3 linked regions of the Drosophila melanogaster genome follow. The protein of the gene in region 3 interacts with the protein of the main gene of each other region in a pairwise test. Each region holds a gene or a part of one and is shown on either strand. Other genes may lie near its edges. The genes, in order: CG32369, Lipt1 and ClpX.

The links.
Region 1: the proteins of ClpX (region 3) and CG32369 interact in a two-hybrid assay, tested with the Drosophila melanogaster proteins (one large-scale study listed by BioGRID).
Region 2: the proteins of ClpX (region 3) and Lipt1 interact in a two-hybrid assay, tested with the Drosophila melanogaster proteins (one large-scale study listed by BioGRID).

What each region holds. Positions count from the first base shown.
Region 1 is NT_037436.4:7,806,333-7,811,665, reverse strand, and holds the start of CG32369 (uncharacterized protein), read left to right. Parts: upstream 1-1,840; 5' UTR 1,841-2,669; intron 2,670-5,333.
Region 2 is NT_033778.4:16,195,102-16,200,551, reverse strand, and holds Lipt1 (lipoyltransferase 1), read right to left. Parts: upstream 3,511-5,450; 5' UTR 3,225-3,510; coding exon of another isoform or gene 3,036-3,224; 5' UTR 2,772-3,035; coding exon 2,214-2,771; intron 2,068-2,213; coding exon 1,606-2,067; intron 1,546-1,605; coding exon 1,375-1,545; 3' UTR 1,174-1,374; downstream 1-1,173. Other genes in the region: Shark (SH2 ankyrin repeat kinase), read left to right, coding at 1-274, 334-827; CG42837 (uncharacterized protein), read right to left, coding at 3,036-3,224; CG44242 (uncharacterized protein), read right to left, coding at 3,750-3,860, 3,950-4,081; caly (calypso), read left to right, coding at 4,643-4,835, 4,895-5,450.
Region 3 is NT_033777.3:19,897,508-19,906,082, forward strand, and holds the start of ClpX (caseinolytic protease chaperone subunit), read right to left. Parts: upstream 6,183-8,575; 5' UTR 5,392-6,182; coding exon 5,334-5,391; intron 4,304-5,333; coding exon 2,925-4,303; intron 2,868-2,924; coding exon 2,718-2,867; intron 2,589-2,717; coding exon 2,367-2,588; intron 2,302-2,366; coding exon 2,107-2,301; coding exon of another isoform or gene 2,089-2,106; exon of another isoform or gene 1,821-2,088; coding exon 1,785-1,820; 3' UTR 1,646-1,784; exon of another isoform or gene 1,034-1,645; coding exon of another isoform or gene 968-1,033; intron 905-967; coding exon of another isoform or gene 746-904; intron 688-745; coding exon of another isoform or gene 238-687; intron 145-237; coding exon of another isoform or gene 1-144. Other genes in the region: CG4733 (uncharacterized protein), read left to right, coding at 1-144, 238-687, 746-904, 968-1,033; Surf6 (surfeit 6), read right to left, coding at 6,253-7,061, 7,116-7,281; RhoGAP92B (Rho GTPase activating protein at 92B), read left to right, coding at 7,804-7,853, 8,124-8,380.

The sequences.
Region 1 (5,333 bases), on a different chromosome or scaffold from region 3:
GCAGTTGACATGTCGCTAAATAAAGCTGCCGGAAACTCAAGAACTGAAATGACGAACTTCAAGTTCGGATAAAATGCGCATTCTAAAACAATGTATACCATTCAACATTTAATCTGTGGAAAAACTTCCATGGATTCCAATCATAAGACAAATTCTCACTTCCACTTGGCAACAAACGAAACTCGCCCGACTTCAATTAACATTCACTAAAACAACGAAAAAAAATAAATAATTTGTTTGTCAGCTTCACACACCTATTTCAAATTCAGCTGAACCAAAGCCCAAATCGGTGATATACACTATTATGCAAAAAACATAATAAAGCAAAAAAAAAAAACTGAAACTAATTTCCTCATATATTGCTTACAAAATAAACATTTCAAACATGAAACTCGCAGCTAATTTCCGTTGATGAACAACAAAAGCAGCGCCAACTATTTGAGAAATGGGAGCTGTATAACCGGTACACAGTCAAAATTTAATTATATAATTGTACATGGTATTAAAATATATGGTACTACTAAAATAACGTTAATTGCTAAACAATTAAAGATTATTGAGATTCTACAACTCAGAAATTTGAAAATATATATTAGAATAAATTTTGTTAATTTTAATATGTTTTAATCTGTAAACTTTCAAGCTTTGTTTTTTTTTTGAATGCAGGCTTAAACCAGACCCAGACCTGAGGCAAAGCAATTCGATTACTTCCCTATGGGGAAATGTTGCAATAAATGCGAGCAATGCTCAAACATAAGCGGACTCCACTCGCCCGCCCCGCATATTTTTATACTGTCCAAGACTTACGAAAGCGAAAAATGAGTTAACAACAACGGCCACTCAAAATGTTAATGGAAACGCAGCAGCAGCAGCAGCAGCAGCAGCATGAAAACTGGTAGTATGCAGGCAACCGCTAACAGACAACGTTGAACTTGAGCTTGAAATACAAGCCAAGCGGAGCCAAAAGAGAAAGACGGGAAGTAGGGGGAGGGGAAGCGATACGCGGTTGTTATAAGCCAAGTTTGTCGACAACTGCATTTGTTGATCAACCCAAATGAGGTCAACGCGTCGTATACGTAATTTGCGTTAAATGACAAAACAATATGTAATAGCCACACAACACTTACGAAACGCAGATATTCGATATTACAGACGAACTTTAACAACTCTGAGCTCTATCGGGATAGGAAATCTATAGCTTCAAAACCTGTTTAAGGATTATAAAATTAATACATCTTGTAATGACATGTCTGAGAATTAATCAACTTATATTTTCACAGTTTAATCTATTGTGTATTTTGTTATACAAATTTCGTTATTAATTTTATAAGTTATTTGAGTAAGCTTTTATTCTATTTTACATAATCTAAAAACTATATTTGCGTATTAAACAAAATTACAAAATTTTATATATGTAATTTAGTTTAAGTAACAGAAAATCGACCGTATCTGTTGTGATTATTGATGTTTGCTTGGTGTTTATATGGCTGTAGTCTGTTGAGTGGCGCCGGAAATGCGCATCATACGATAAATGACGCCCACTGGCAAACTAGCACCCCCAACACCACCCACTATCCCCCAACCCAATAGTTTTGCAAATCACCCACCGCAGCCCCCGCTGCCCCATCATTTTTCTTGGCGTCGCCTGTTGTGACAGTTGACGGTTTGCCGGCAAAAATTAAAAAAAAAAATAAAATGCCAGAGAGAGAAGTGCTAAACAAAGAGAGCTCAAGGCACAGACATCGATGACGCAACAGACACATCCACGGAGGCGTAAGAGAGTCGACCCCAAAAGAGAGCGCCAATTTTTCGCTCCAAGCCAACGACTGACTTTTCACAGCAGTCATTCGCTGTTGAACAGCGGCCGTGGCAAGTTCAGACAGCAGGGAGAGTTTGAAAAAAAAAACCAGGCCGTAATACAAATACAAAAAGCAAAATAATAAAAATTATACAAAAAAAAAGTATGAATAATAAAAAAGGCAAATAAAAAAGCAACAAAGTGGAGCGCACCCCATAAGCAAATCATCGCCGAGCCACTCGAACACGTTGCCGCCGTTGCTGCTGTTGTCGCTATTTCTTTCGCCCAGTGCGTTCGCTCTCTCTCTTTCTGTCTCGTCGCGTAACGTAAGCGTATTACAAAACAAACGCCAACGTAATCAAAGAAATAAATAAAATAAAATAAAGGTGCTCGCTCGCGTGTTTCTCGGTGTGAATAAATGAAATAAATAAATTAGTCACAAAATATAAAAAGGGGGTCCAAGTGCAGCCCCCCCCAAATTGCCGCACACCCTTTACGAGAAAGAAAGAAAAAAAGTTAACCCGTGTGTGCGGCGGGGTTACGTAAAGCCGACGGACAAGCGCCGTTCCAAGTTCTTACAAAACAAAAAAAAAAATATATATAAATATCAAACAACACATAACACGAGTGAATAGATTCCCCAATTCGATTTTTTCGCACGCGTGTGGCTATAAATTTTTGGCAAACAAAAATATATACAACTAAATACAACAACAAAATTTTAAATAAATTGCAAGAAGAAGAGGGAGAATTTCGTGTGTTAGTGTGTGTGTCTGTGTGTGATTCTTGAGCAACAGTACACGCCGCACCCCCCGCGAAAAACCTACCCTTTTTTGGGGAAAAACAAGGAGGCGCGGTTCAACAGCGACAGGTAATTCCATTTCTGCGCTCTCTTTGCCACTCTTTCGGGTTCTCTTTGTGTGTGTTACGACATCAAACCACATGCTATGCCTCTGTTTTCAATGTGAATGAACGCTCGACAAAGTTGCGTTTTCAAAGATTGGCACATTCAAGTCTCTCTCTTAGTTTTTCGCTCTTTGTCGGGGAAAACAGTTTTTCATTTGCTATCTGCAATGATTGTGAAAACAAAAAGTGCACTGCTTGAGTCTAGCGGAGGGAAAACTGCAGGGGCGGCTCTTACGTGTTGCCATATTTTTAAAGGCATTACTAAGCGTTTTTTCCGCGCTGCTTTGTTGACGTTCTGTGGCCAATTGAATTCGGCCTGCACTTGATAATCATTTATATTTAATGTGTGATAAAACTTCCGTGGAAAAATATATATCTTAACGATTTCGCGATAAATTAGCTCAGATAAGCAAAAAACAAATGGTGGAAAGAACGATTTGGGAATTTTAAAAGAAGTAAAATTAAGAAAATAAACAATTCAACCTCGTTAAATTATAGTTGACACAAATTTTATATACAAAGTTAAAGTATATAAAATATAACTGGTAAAAAAAAACGTCAGTTTTTTTCATTTTCATTTCATTCATTTTCCTTGAATCTGTCGCGTTGTCATCGCTTTCGTAATTCTCTGGTTAACAGTTTCCAATCCCCGATAATCTACTAAAGATTCGCCAATTTGTCGGGGTCACCACCCAATATTCGTCAGCTACCAAAGCGAGAAACTGGGCTCCTTCCCTCTCCCCCCCTCGACCGCATATGCCCCTCTCACTCGGTTGACGTTTAGCGTTACGACACGCAATGTACTACGAGTATTATGCGACGTTTGCTGCCAATGAACAAGCCGCAACAACACAGTTCGCCCACTTGGCCCAAAACGAAAAACGCCAAAGGGGTTGGGGAAATGCTGAAAAAATATGGTTAGCTCGAAAAGAGGAAAAACCTATTTGCATACGTCATCGGGCGAAAAAGGTTCGTCATGACTCAGAGTCGAATATCGAGGAAGCCAGACTTCAAACAGCTGGATCGTTGTTATATAAACCAAGTCAAACACTACACCGAACTTATGTAAGGCCCAAAGGGACCGGGCCAATTAGTCACAGCGAATGTGGGGGTTCTTGTGTAATCGGTGTGAAATCAAAACCGAAAACCTGAAAAATCACAAACTATGTAGAAATTTTTGGTTGCTAATTGGCTTGCCTCAATAAATTCTTCAGCCCAGTTTCTTTTGTAGTTATTTTGAGCTATTTATATCAGCGTTTATCGCCGTCGTCATTGTCGTCCATTCGAATACAATGTCATAAAACGTGTGAGCCAAGCAAAAAACGGCAAGACAAATGAGAAACCAATAAAACAAATATCAAAGAAGAAATCAAAATGTACAAAACCAAATAAACGCCAACATTAAGGCAATGAAAATGTATGCGATTTCATAATTACGTCGAAAACTACCATCGGAGCATAATCACTTGGTTATGCAATTTATTGGCTTATGTGGCGTGATTACTTGGCGATTAAAGAACTCTATCAGAAGTTCTTGGGATTTTAGGAAATTGGTGAAAGACTTAAACAACTTTGTAGGAATTTCCACACCTGAGCTGTTGCTCATATCGTATTTGGGTACATGAATGTTCATGAAGATGAATCATTTGTTGACTCATTTTCATAAGATAGCAATTTCATAGTTGATACAGAACAACTGTCGTTTTCAATCAGTTCTTTACAAGCAAGCAAATAGTAATTATTTCAACAATCGCTCAATGAGTTTATCACATTTAGTGCTGTAAGTTCCTTTATCGACTTCAATCACTGCGCGCCTACAATCACTTATCGGACTTAAGGCAAACAATGCCTGAATTCAGTTGACTTAGAATACTGACAAACGCCGTTGTAAATGTAGCTATATACACATATTATATGTCAACGCTGCCATTTTGTCTGAGTGACGACGGACAACGGTTGTTTGTATCTACGATTGACATTGCATAATATTGTGAAAAATAAAGCAATCTACGCTATAAGCTATTGCCCTGAGGGCGTGTTCAGGTAGCCGGGCTTCACATATTTGTTATTCACTTAGGAACAATTTATCGGATACGGATTATGCAATAGGACTTTACGTACACGGAACTGCAACCACGATTGCACCAGGATGCACGTGCAGTTATATGAGGCGTATACATAATTTTTACTTACGCAAAGCCGAGCGGCAACAGGAACAATTAGAATCGAGTGCCTTCTGGCTTGTTTACCAACTTTTCCCTTGTCCAATACAATGTTTCACAATGCCAGCTGATATGAAAGTTGGAGCTCCCTATCTCAATCTCGTTCGTTACCTCTCTATTTATATATACTGCTTATATGGTTTCGTTTCCGAGGCGGAGATTGCGCTGTTTTGCTTAAAATGATCAGAAAGTGAGTTCTCTCGAGTGCTACAATATCGATATCAGTAAATTGCTTTCGAAAGGGAAATTTCTGCAGGGCGAATTCGTGAATTTCAAGTACAATATACAGGGAACTTAAATGTGAGTGAGGACTTAAGGTCACGTCGTGATCAGCTCCAACTGACTGAAACATTAAGTAGATATTATCCAATTAATTTCTATATTTTTGAGTTTCATGCTGACGATTT
Region 2 (5,450 bases), on a different chromosome or scaffold from region 3:
AGCGGTGCCGGCGAGGAATCGCGCTTGGAGGTGGCCATTAAGATGCTTAGCGACGAGCACAGCAACAAACAGGAGTTCCTGCGCGAAGCATCAGTTATGATGCGGCTGGAGCACAAGTGCATTGTGCGATTGATTGGCATTGCGAAGGGTGAAATGCTAATGATGGTTCAAGAGCTAGCTCCGTTGGGCTCCATGCTGCAGTACATACTGGATCATGGTCATGAGATCACGGCCAATGCGGAGCTGAAAGTTTGGGCGTCACAGATTGCGTGTGGTAAGTCAAATTCAAGACAATTTGATTCAATTCAATTAATTAATTAATGTTTGTACCAGGCATGCATTATCTGGAATCACAGCATTTTGTACACCGCGATCTGGCCGCCAGAAATATATTGCTGACCGCACGCCACCAGGCGAAGATCAGTGACTTCGGCATGTCGCGATCACTGAGACCCGGTAGCACGGAATACCAATTCACCCAGGGCGGACGTTGGCCCATCCGCTGGTACGCACCGGAAAGCTTCAACCTGGGCATCTTCTCGCACGCCAGTGATGTGTGGTCCTTTGGCGTGACCATCTGGGAGATGTTTTCCCTCGGCGCACCGCCATATGGGGAAATATCTAATGTCGATGCCATCAAGTTGGTGGACAGTGGCGAACGCCTGCCGCAGCCCAATCTCTGTCCAGCTTACATCTATGCCGTGATGCAGAGCTGCTGGAAGGAACGACCCAAAGATCGGCCAACCTTTGTCTATCTCACCGAGTTTTTCGCCCGCGATCCTGATTACCAAAACCTGCCGGAATTGGTGCAAACGGTTCACATTTAAGCCAGTTTCCATTTTCCATTTTTTCCGTTCTGAGTGCAATTTTCTGTAGCTATTTATGCAATGTCTTCTATTTCGTTTTCAACGTATTAACGATCTGGAACCCACAGATCACTATTGTTGTTCCGTATCCTAGTATTCATGTTTATAGCTTGTAATATATTTTTTAATCATATGTACAACCAATTTGTGTCAAAAGAAAGCGAACAAGTGCCTTAAAGATTTAGCATATAAGCTTTGTATTCATTTTTACAAATCCATTTTGTTTCATTGGTTATACAAAATAAAAACTATTTTTATACATACTGCGCTTTTTGATTTAGTATTAAATAATACAGCAGTATGCTTTAATAATCAATGTTTAAACATTTAATGCAGTTCTTTTATATAAAACGTGGTAACAAAAGTAAATAGTTTGTTGGTAAACCGCTTAAATACTAGGTTAGTAATATGGTTTCTTGGAAAGATTATAACTACGTTAGCGTGGTTAGTGCTCTAGAAATGGATTATATATTTTTTTGTTAATTTTTTCGAGCTAGCACAACAGTAATCAAGCTGATCCGTTTATTGCCTGCTTCACATTCGATGCGCTGACGAGCTTAAGGGCGCCAAGTATTCCGTTCAGGTTCTCCTCGTTGTAGGGCTTGCCCTGGAGCGGAGTCACCACCGGGACGAGCTGATCGCTCTGCGGCAGCTGGATGCCGATCTCCTTCATTAATCCCTACAAATTTAGTAAAATCATAAGTGATAATTCTCTAAAACAGGGCAAAACAAATCTTACCGCTTCCACTTCCACGCTTAGTTTCAGTTTCATGTCCTGCTCATCGCCCTTCACCTCCAGTTCCTTCTGCACGGTGAACTTGGGAGTCTTGCCGATGACCCAGTCCCAAGAGCTGTAGTTGGAGCGCAATTCCTCAATGCCGGGGAACCATTTCTCTGTGGGATTGACCAGCTGAAAGCCGCGCTGCTGCATCGTCTGTGTGCTGCCGCCGTCTTCAAGCGTAGTTGCAGCCGTTCTCAAATACTCGTAACCCACGGCGGAACGCAGCTGAGCAACGTTCACCGTGCGATTGACATCAACCAGGTTGCGAATGGGCGACGGCACCGAAGCCGTGGCCTTGCTAATATAATTGGCCGGCTCCCGCACCAGAGATTCGCCCAAGTGCAATTTGTTGGCGCTGGCCAAAATGGTGCAGTGATGGTACGAGTTCGGGTGTCCCAGCTTGGCCGCAGTGCCGGAAATCTGTAATTGAACAAGGGCATACTCGTTGAGTGGGCAAATAAAGACCAGATGCACAGCCCCAGCTGTTGGTTAAGTGAGCTGATGCCAATGTGAGGGATCAGCCGGGGTCGCATCATTCCTTGATAAGAGCCACCGCTCCTCCTCACCTTCTTATTCATCACTACAATGTCGTCGCGCTCATTTATCTCTGCCTTGATGGCCCATTCGCGGAACAAGGCCCTGGTCACGATGTTCAGGTTGTACTTGCGATCGTAGCGCTCTCTGGGCGAGAAAAAGGTGCAGTTGAGGTTCCCAAGATCATGGTACACCGCTCCACCGCCACTATTGCGGCGTGCAAGTGTTATGCCGCGTTCCACCAGCTGCGAAACATTAGCCTCGGTGAAGGGATTCTGGTGGCGACCAATGACTACGCACGGGTCGTTGGCCCACAGCAGCAGCACATGGTGGCGGCTGAAATCAAAGTTTTTGTACAGCCAATCCTCTAGAGCGAGGTTGGTGAACACATCGCTGGACTGCGAGATGAACACGGACTTCTTGATCTCCGAATCGGGAACCACGGGCGGTGGCTGGCGCCTCTGCTTTTTAATCTCCTGCTGTCCAGCAGATGGTGGCTCCACTCCGCTGGATGCCAGGCGCGTGGCCTGAGCGGCGGAGGAGAGAAGTAGCCGCAGCTGGCTGGAATTGCGTCGCAACAGCATGCTCATGGCTTACACAAGGAAGTGGGGCGTACGGGTGTGTGTGATTTCTGTTGCCAGGTGATCTGGGACACAATGCACTTGCAAGCGAAACAAGGTCAATGGTGTCGAAAAAAGCTTTTGGCTGGTTGATTGGTTGGTTGGTTGGTTGGTTTCTACGGTTGTCGTCTGCCTGGTTCTGTGTGGTCCGTGTGTGCTCTTCTTTAGGTTATGTATGGTCTACTATCTACGCTATTCGTTTTGGTCTTTAAATGGCTTTGGTCGCTCTGGACTTTAGACTGTGGCGTTCTTAGTGGCTCGGGATGTGTTTGCAGCCACGGAGCTGGCCGAGATGAGGTATTCGTGCAGGGCGGGCGTCTGATGCAGCCACTTCCACGTTTGATGCAGACCACAGACACGCTTACGGAGACCCAGGCAGTCCTTGTTGGCACAGTTCACTGGCATACTACGCCTCACACCCATCCAGGTGGGGGATACAACGAATCCGGTGTTTACGGGGGGCCGCAACGTTACGGGGCCCAAATAAGATGGCTAAAGGGTTTCCTTTTTAGCTGACACCAAAATTTTCCACTCTTTGTTCGCGGCGCACGGGAACTGCGGGGGGCGGGGGCAAGGCGGATGATCGCAGTGGGCGGGGGTAGCAGTTATAGCACAAACAAACGAACGAACACAGAGCCGATCGAAAAGCAGCTGCGCGTGTGGAAATATCACGACCGATTGGCTTTCGTTTCAGATGAGCAGTGGTGCTCGCTGCTCTTGTTCTTCCTCGACGGTCCCCAAATGCCATTCGCAGCGAACGACGAAAGCTCCGGTCATTAAAAAAAAAAAAAAACAACGGCACTCTGGCGCCGCACTTAATTTATTTTCATCTTTTTAATTCGAACTTGTATAATTTACGCTAAACATGTGTGATAATCCGAGACGTCTACAACAGATGTGACATTAATATGTGTTATATTTTATAAGCAGCATACTTTGAGAGCCCCTTCAGTTTGGAATACCCCCATTATTAATGTAAGCCGCCTCTTCGGGATCAATTGGCTTGCGGGCAAATCGTGCCGGCAGCTCGTAGTCCTCAATTGCTGGTCCACCGGCCAACTAAATGTAGAAGGGACAATTACGAAGATTAGTTATGATGCACAGAAGAAGCCGTGGTATTGTGTATAAATGAAATGGGCTGGGTTAACCTTTTTGCCTCCTGCGGCCTGGGAACTTGCCTTCTGGTTTGCTGTCTGGGCGCCCGGCACTCCTGCACCACCCTTGCGGAAGTGTATGAGCGGTACGCGCTTAGCCAGCGCAACTAGTGTTGGTCGAACCATAGCAACAGCAATTGAATTTCTACCAAAAAGCCAAGGCAAAAGTAAAAGTTACGTGAATAACAGCTGACTGTAAACTCATACAAGCGCTGCCAGATCGTTAAAATTGCATGCCATTCGCCGCGCAATGGATTATTATCGTTATTGAAATTTACGTGATCCTGTGAATGGCTAAGGCAGATAAGAGGAAGCGCAAAAAACTATTTTGGTCCAAATCGGTAATATTTTTATATTTAAAATGAATTGGGGACAGAAGATAACCGGCAGCCGACGGCCCTAACTTCTGGACGGACATCGCCAGTATATGGATTGCTCCTAAAACTAGCAAACCAACGTACTTATGCTCTATGCAACAATAAATGTCATATGAAAACAAACTATTGAAGACGTTTTTATGAGTATAACCGGTAACTATTTCATTTGTTTATTATATTAATGACAAATAAACTTATACGTAAACATTCCTTTGATAGATTTTCATGTGTATATCCTTCTCTGTGCAGAAAAACGAAATTAAAGTAACATCTCGGATACTTTCGCAGCAATTGTATAAGCCATACAAATATGAACGCTGCTGGAGGAGGTAGTGGTGCCCAGGCGGCCGCAGTGGCGGCAGGCAACAACAGTCTCAGCCACAATGCGCTACTTTCCACGGCCTCAGGAGCCACCACCATGCCTATGGCCCAACTGGCAGACGGTTGGTTGGAGCTGGAGTCCGACCCAGGTCTCTTCACACTGCTTCTCAAGGATTTTGGATGTAATCTATTTGAATATGCCTTGTTCCACACATCCTATTAAAATATGTACTATCCTTAGGTCACGATGTACAGGTGGAGGAGGTGTACGACCTACAGAAACCCATCGAGAGTCCATATGGCTTCATATTTCTCTTCCGCTGGATCGAAGAGCGACGCGCCAGACGCAAAATTGTGGAGACAACTGCTGAGATATTCGTCAAGGATGAGGAGGCCATTTCCAGCATTTTCTTCGCCCAGCAGGTAGTCCCCAATAGCTGTGCCACACACGCGTTGCTTTCGGTGCTCCTGAACTGCAACGAGAACAATCTTCAGCTGGGCGACACCCTGAGTCGACTAAAAACCCACACCAAAGGCATGAGTCCGGAGAACAAGGGGCTGGCTATTGGCAACACTCCGGAGCTGGCCTGTGCCCATAACTCACACGCAATGCCGCAGGCTCGGCGCCGTCTAGAAAGGACGGGAGCGGGCGTCTCAAGTTGCCGCTTCACGGGTGAGGCGTTTCACTTCGTTAGCTTTGTGCCTATCAATGGACAACTGTTTGAGCTGGATGGCTTGAAACCGTATCCCATGAATCACGGCGGTTGGGAGGATAGCGAGGATTGGACAGATAAGTT
Region 3 (8,575 bases):
CCCGGCCTGGCCTTTCTCAAGGAAGCCACCGAGTTCCATTCCAGATACGTGCACACAGTCATCGCGCGCATTTTCTATTCGGTAAACCGCAGTTGGAGCGGCAAGATCACAATAGCCGAACTAAAACGATCCGATCTGCTGGAGGTGAGAAAAGTATATCAATGATATATCTGAAAAATATAAATATAACAATGTTGTTGTGAAATACATAATGTACATTTGGAAACCCGCCCACAGATGATCAGTCTGCTGGAGGAAGAAGAGGACATCAATCAGATAATGGCCTTCTTTAGCTACGAGCACTTCTACGTGATTTACTGCAAGTTTTGGGAACTGGACAAGGACCACGACCTGCTGATCAACCAGGAGGATCTGGCCAAGCACAGCGATCATGCCCTGTCATCGCGCATCGTGGAGCGAATCTTCTCGGGATGTGTAACGCGCAGCGATAACAAAAAGGCGCCGGAAGATGAAGCCAAGATGTCCTACACGGACTTTGTGTGGTTCATCCTCTCGGAGGAGGACAAACGGACGCCGACGGCCATCGAGTACTGGTTTAGATGTATGGACGTCGACGGAGATGGAGTGCTGTCCATGTACGAACTGGAATACTTCTACGAGGAGCAGCAGCAAAGGATGGAGGGAATCGGCATTGAGTGCCTGCCTTTCGAGGACTGCCTGTGCCAGGTGAGGATCGGATATTCAATTCCGATTGAAGGAAGATAATCTAATTTTTTTATATTAGATGCTAGATATGATCAAGCCAGCAAATCGGGACTGTATCACGCTGGGCGATTTGAAACGATGCAAAATGACGCACGTCTTCTTCGATACCTTCTTCAATCTGGAGAAGTATCTAGATCACGAACAACGAGATCCGTTTGCCTCACAGCGTGACGAATATGTAAGTGGTACTTAGAATAATTAATTAATATAATTATTAATTATGTTATTATCTATTTCGCAGACCTCCGATTGGGATCGGTTTGCGGCACAGGAATACGAACTGCTCATATCCGAGGAAAACGATTAAGGGTCGCCAAAAGATATTTATTAACTTACAAATTTTTATACAAATTTATATACTACGAGATGAAAAGGAAACGTAAAAACAAACAAAAAGAAGGAACTACCATTAGTCCATTATGTGCAATAAATTCAAATTATTTATTATGAGTTCTGCAGACTTAGTTGAATTTGAATGATGAATAAAATAAAATGAACGAAAACTAAAAATTTAAATTTGCCATGTTATTTACATTAGTAACCCTTGGCGTACAAAAAGCATATCGATTTCTCAAGAAAATTAGCATCCAGCTTTAAATTTTTTCATTTTTTTTTATTTGTTTTTTGTTTTAAAAATGTTTTTTTCAACTTAAATTAGTTAAAGGTAGAACGTGCTTCTCGCTTGTCATCTTTACAACGCTACAAGAACTCATTTAGAAACTCAATTTAGACTATGCAAAAATTTGCCTAAATATACGTTTACGTTTGTATATATAATTGTTATATGCAAAAGAGGTTCCTAGCGCCAATGGACCACATCATTGCCAACATTGCAGATTTCCGATATTTGTGTAATATAATGTTTAAGAAACTGTGGCATTTATTTAAATATCCCTTTAGGATTTGTTGTTCCACTTACAATTGCTTCGGGCTCAAAAGACTGCGCTGCTCGTCGTTTATGAATCACAGATGCATTTGGGGATTGAGGACATTCTTTATAAATGTATACACTCCTCAGCGGTTCATATTTTACAGAGTGATAGGTTCGAGGTAGGGATCTACGACGCACCAATCAATTTACCATTCAAACCAGACTAAAAAATATACATGTTAGAGTGGGCAAATGAAAGTATCATAAGGGTTCAACATTAAATTGTGTTTATGCGAGAAATTAGCGCTGACGATTCGAAATTAAGCAGCTGGACGAGTTTAACAAGCTGAACAGTAGTGGATAGAAGACAAAAGAGTTTGCAAAGAACAAGCAATTCGGAAAGCGTTGCGAATTGAAAGTTTTCTCTTTTGTTCAAGTGTTGTCTCGATTTCTGTTTTGGTTGGCTTTGGATGTGGGTATCTCTGTTTGATTTACTGTTTTAGTCGTACTTTCTCACTATTCTCAAAGTTCTTATCATTATCGGTTGTGGTATCGGAATCCGTGGCAACAGTCCCAGATGCCGCGGCGTCTGCATCGCGGCTGTACTCGGGGGTGGCGCTGCCTTTAACATAGTCGGCGGTTATGTGAACACCCCGAATGTCTGAACCAGGCACTATGAACATGGGATCCAGCAGCAGTTGTTCCTGGATGGGATTATAAACATGTTTTAGGTATATGCCATATGTGTCTCACAAATTCAATATCTTACCATTATAGAGCGCAGTCCACGAGCTCCAGTGTGCCTTTCCATTGCAAGCTGGGCTATCGACTTCACAGCATCCTCGGTGAACGTAAGGTCCACCTCATCAAGACCCAACAGTGCCTTATATTGCGGCACTAGAGCGTTTCGCGGCTCGGTTAGGATGCGCACCAGCATGCTAACGTTCAAACTGTGGAAGGGAACGATAACCGGGAAACGTCCAACGAATTCCTGCACAACAATTTGGGTTTTAAAATAATCAAAATGAGTAACTAATATAATAAAATCTGCTAGCTTATAATTATGTTAATAGTTACAATGTATGTCTACGGAGTTATATTTGAACCTCCGATTACTTACCGGTATCATGCCGAACTCAACGAGATCACGGGCCTGCACTTTGGTCAGGCATTTATCACGCTCTTCCTGGTCGTTGTCCATGGGACTGGCGGCTGATTGAGCTGCACGACGGCCAGATCCGCTGGTCGATGGCATGCCGAAACCCAAATACTTGAAGCATTAAGATGCAATTAGTAAGCGAAGTCTGAGTAACTATCGCTAACTTACCTTTTCGTTGAGACGACGTGCGATAAGCCTGTCCAGTCCTGTGTAGGCACCAGAGGCCACGAAAAGGATATTTGTGGTGTCCACCTGGACCGTTTCGCCACGCAGCTTTCGCGGGGAGTTACGCTCCGGCACGTTGACCACTGTGCCTTCGAGCATTTTCAGCATGCCTTGCTGGACGCCCTCGCCGCCAACGTCACGAAGCTGATGGATTCCGGGGACGGCACCGATTTTGTCCACCTCGTCGAGGAAAACAATGCCCGTCTGTGCGCGCTCTACATTGTAGTTGGCATCTTGCAGAAGCTTTGAAATTACGCTTTCGATGTCCTCGCCCACATAGCCCGCCTGTGTTAACGTGGTGCAGTCGCAAATGGCGAAGGGCACATCCAGGCACTTGGCGATCGTCTGGGCGATCAGCGTCTTACCGGATCCCGTGGGGCCCAACATGATAATGTTACTCTTCTCCAGTTTGACATCGGTGGACTGGCGGTCAAGTATTTCTGATCCGGACCGGTTGTCGCCACCTCCACGCGCATTGCTAGATGATGCGCCGGTTAGTCCTGCTCCAAGTCCAGGTCCTCCCATTCCTCCGCCCATGCCCATTTGAGTCGGCGACTTTGGTGGCAGTTCGTTGCCCGGGGAGCTGTTCAGCGTGTGACCAATACCGGTGATGTGTAGAAGATCGGGCCGAGGAATACCATCTAGGCCGCCACCGGCTCCATTGCTGGCACCCGCTCCCTGGTTTTGCAGTTGCGGCAGATTGTGATGGATGCGCTTATAATGATTGTAGACGGCCACCGCCAGCACCTTTTTGGCAAAATCTTGGCCCACCACGTGTTTGTCCAGATACTCCATGATTTTCTGTGGCGGAGGTGGCGGCTTGCGCTGGTTTTTGGGCTCGTCCTTGGTGCGCTGCTTAGTCTCCACCTCCGAGAGCACCACGAAGAAGTAGTTGCACTTGGCGCACTTAACGAACCGCGTCGAGCTGACAAAGGTCTCAACCTGGGTGCAGGCGCTGCCGCACTTTGGGCACGAGAGGAACTTGTCACTGCCACCGCCTGGCGGATCGGCACCACTGGTCGAACTTGCTCCAGACCCAGCCGCACCGCCGGGGCTCTTCGCTCCACTACCTCCCGACGCACTGGCTCCCCCTTCGCTGCCGCTCCCACTCTCGCTGGAGTCCTCTGGCGTTCTTGAGTGTGCGTTAGTTACATCAATATACGCCGGTATTGCCATCGCGGGCTCCAGTCTCATCAGTCGATTCCTCGCGCAGTTCCGCGTTGCCAGGTGAAAGCGTCGTACGCCACAGTCGCTGTTCTCCGCAGAACCTGCGCTTAGGATAACGCATCTTGCCGAGCCATGTGTTTGACCAGCTCCGCTTCCTGGATATGGAAAGTACATGTATAAGTATTGGAAACTGTTTTTAATGGCATACAAATTTAAATAAAAATTGGAAGTCATCTGAGACCTTTAGCCACTGTGCATGGATTCTAAAGATTTAAATTGTGTCTCGTGCACAAAGCAGACAAAATGGAAGCATCGACCCCATGTGTGGGGTTAATGCTTTCCGAAGCACAGGCAATTGATAACAACAAAGGGAATCCGGGGAACAGAGTCTCTAGATTGGCCCACAAAAACAAACTAACAAGTGGAGGCCAAGGGCAATTAGCATCTTCCGATATCGCAGATGACTCGCACCTTTTTTTCGCAGTAGTGCCAATCAAGCAGGGAATTGATAATGGCTAATCTCGGAATTCACAGGTGCTGTGAATTTGACAGTAGAAAACAATCTCGGCTAGTTTTTTTCAGTGAAATGTGTTGGGTAAACTTCCGGCTCTCGCTTTCCTAACTTGCAGGCCAGCAAATATAATAACCAACTGTGGGCCATTAAAAAAGTGTAAGAAATTGCTCCACTGCAGACATGTAATGATAAAACAAAAAATCATTGCGTCAGAGCGGCAATAGCAGTAATTGCGCTAACTGGCCATTCGGGCCTTATAAAACAATTCAAGTTCAGTTGGTCCAAGAGCCACGCTTGTCTGATTGGAAACGGCAAGGGGGGTGGCCTCCAATCAGATGCGTGTGAGTGCGTGAATGTAAAATCAGTTGGGTGAAACCCCTTTTCAGCGACGCCACTGTGGCCCGTTGACCGCGAGCAGCAGCTTTTTGGTATCAAAAGAAGACGACCTTCATTCAGTGTTTTGGTTGTTTGACACTAGACAAGTGTCAGCGAGCACCGAAGCTAGAAAATTCTGATAAGCCAAATGGCGGGGGGAGCGTTGGGATTACGATGCAGATTGGTAAACTGCAGGCTGTTTTTTAGTTGCCATTGCCAGTTGTTGTCGATTCACGGCTAATGACGCAGTTACGTATGCGATTGGCAGCACAACAACAAGACGGCACAGCACTTACCCTTTGCCCACACACTGTATTTGGGGCCCAGCAGGATAATCCGCCGCACCATGCTCATGGTGGCTGCTGCCCGCCGCCTCTGTGCCTCTGTTCCGTCTACCGCTTCCTCCGCGCCCGCTGCAGTTGCTCCTGGACTCGGATTCCCCTGCGCCCCTGCTTTGCACCGATTTGCTACTCAGCTGGCGGCCGCTTCTTCTTCTTGCTCTGCTGATCTGCAAAGTTATTGTTGTGACTTCTGCTGGGGATGCCTCGCTTTGCAGGGATTGCTTTTCTATATCCACTTGTTGGTTATCCGTCGCTCGCCAAAGTGCGTCGCAATTTGGATGATTTTCCGCCTGCCTTGCTGTATTTTCGGTGGAAAATGGGGGGAATAGATTGCGCTCTGCACGTAATTTTTGTGGCTGTGTGCGTGCGTGTGATTCTCGTTGTTTTGGCTGCCCCACTCGCTCTGCTTCTTCTTGCCAAATCGGTCACTATACTGTATTAAAAGATCCACAAATTTCTAGGGTCTCCAGCATTATCTGATCCACTTTTTGTCTCTTGTAAGTACTCGGAAAATCTGGAAAAATCGCAGCAATCCAACTAAACGATTACGATATCAATCGATTGTTGTTATCGGTCTCAGCTGTTCGCCGTTCTTCTTCTTGCCAATCTTTGGTGAAGCCGCGCAACGCACAGTGGAACACAAAGTGACACAAAGTGGACAAAAACGAGGAGCCAAATAGTGTGGCTTGGAACTGGGAATTTAGCTGTCTACTGGAATTTTGACTGTGTCGAGGCCGGAAAAGTAAATTTCTAACACGAAAGTATAAAAACGTAAATTTCAGAAAGATCACTTTTTTTCTAAAGCATTCTGAGTTGAATTTCAACGTGGCATACATTTACACTACTTTACACTTAAGGGCTATAGTAAGCATAGTTAATAGCCGGGTATGATGCGACCCCTCTTGCTGGCCGTCTTTAGTTTCCGGTTCTTCTTGTCCTTGCTGCGCTTCTCCAGGTTCTCCTGTCGCTTCTTTTGCCTCTTTTCCTTGTCGTGCTCCACCTTCTGCTTGCGTTCAGTCCACTTGGTCTTGGACTTCTTCTTCTCCACGCGCCGCTTCTTGATGGCCTTTTGCAGCAGCTTGGTGTCGTCCTTGACCTTCTTGCCCTCGACCTTGTCGAATGCGTTGCGCCAGGCGATGTCCGTCTGGATCTCCGCCGCCTTGTCCGTTTCGCCCTGTTCGCGCAGTTCGGTTAGGTGCTTCTTGGTGTCGCGCAGCTTCTTCAGAATCTCCTTGGGGTTTTGGTGAGACTTCTTGGCTTTGCCTCCAGGATTGGCGGCAAAGTCCACCTTGGAGTAGACGATCTTGGCCTCCTGGTTGTAAACCGGTTGCACCTTGACCGGCTGGATCTGTTCCTTGCTGTCCTCCGTCTCCTGTTCTGATTTCACCACGCCATTCTTCAGTTTCTGGTGCTTGACGTTCTCGTTTTTGAGGTTTTTGGCCGAGGAGAGGAGCAGTTTCTGGACGCCCTTGCTGCGTTTAAGCTTTTTAGATTCGCGTCGCTTCTGCTGTCGCTCCGTTGTGGGTCCCTTTTTCTGGCGCAGCTTGTTCTTGATGGAGGCAATGCGTGCCTCTACATCCTCGTCGTCGGAGTCTTGGTTTTTCAGTTTTCCCTGTTGTTTCTTTTTCTTGTTTCCCGATTCCTCCGTGTCCGACAGCAGGTACTCTTCGTAGGTCTCCTCATCTGTAGGAAATACGATAAAGTTAAAGATTTAAGGCTTTTCATTAATGGTTTCACCTTCTTGTTTGGAGTAGGGCACTTTGTGAATGGTCAGCAGTTCCAAGACTCGCTGATAGAACTTTTTGGTGATGGCGGGCAGGTCCTCCTTCTCCGGCTTCTGATCCTTGTTGTGTTCGATTTCATACTCCTCCCGCAGACATTTCACGATCTCCGCCTGGGTCATTTTCGAGAGTAAAATAACAATAAAACTATTATTTACGCACGCACACGTGCAGCTAAGCAAGGCGGTCGAGTTCAGTGTGACCCCACAGAATTCGGGTGTTTTCGACAGTGGTTACCCTAGCGCAAATGTCTGGTACCGCTACAAGTAGTAAGGGGTATTCCCCTATTCAGCGAATTTAAGCAATGGTTTCAGATTAAAGGAGATTGAAATTTAATAAACATTAATTAACCATTGCTTAAATTCATAATTCTAGCCTAAGCTCTGAGAAATCTCAACAGGCATTTATCAAACAGTGTTACCAAATACGAACTTTCGAAAAAGGCGCTCTCCAGCCTTTTGTCATTTCCCAGCGCTCCCGCTGCGGTCACACCCGCCTCACTTTTCCGTAAAACATCGTTGAAGAATGACTAATTTGCCTGTTTTAAGTATTTACTCAATGCCCAGCTAATTGCACATCGCAAACAAACACACAGCAGTTCAGTTCAAGTTGGAGACGCGAGCGGCACCAGCGAATCAGCCAAGATGAAGAGGCAGTTTGCCAAAATCAAAATAGCAGCCGAAAATCTGTCAAGGTAAGTTCAAAGGCCAGCCAGTCTGTCGGTCGGATGTCTGTGGGTGTGTGTTTGTGTAAGTGCGCTCCAGGTGGACAGACAGGTGTGTGTTGCCTCATCACGAAAGAAGCAACAGCAGCAGCAGCAACAACAACAAAAGCAGCAGAGAAGCAGCCACAGAGCAACTGCATCAATAACAAAGCGCGATGACAGCCGTAACAATAGTGGACTGCCGATGATGACCTAACCCGTGCTAAACCCGTGTCAAAATGGTCCTTTTCGCATTCGCAGATCGAGCAAGTCGGACAGCAAGGACTCGGAGCTGGAGGCGATCGAGCGGCAGGTGGACAGATACCGGGACACCATCGAGAAGATCGTCCGCAAGCTGCCGGCGCTGAGCGGCGGAGGCGGAAGTGGAAGCGGGAGCAGCGAGGAGCAGGACAAGCGGACCAAGAAGAACAGTCACTACAAGATTGCCCAGGCTCTGGACGAGTCCGCCAAGGAGCTGCCCAAGGACATGCCGCTGCAGAAGGTCCTCGCCAATTGCGGTTAGTAATCGGGCAACCGGGATTTCCAGTGAGGCAGGCAGTTGCGTAGGCGGTCATTCGCCAGAGGGGGAAGTTACAGAATTTGTTCTTCATCAAGTGATTATATTGATATTGCTTTAGGTACCTAGCTTATCATAGTTTGTTAGCATGTTAGCTTAAACATCCATATGATGTTTCTTACAATCTGAAAATAGT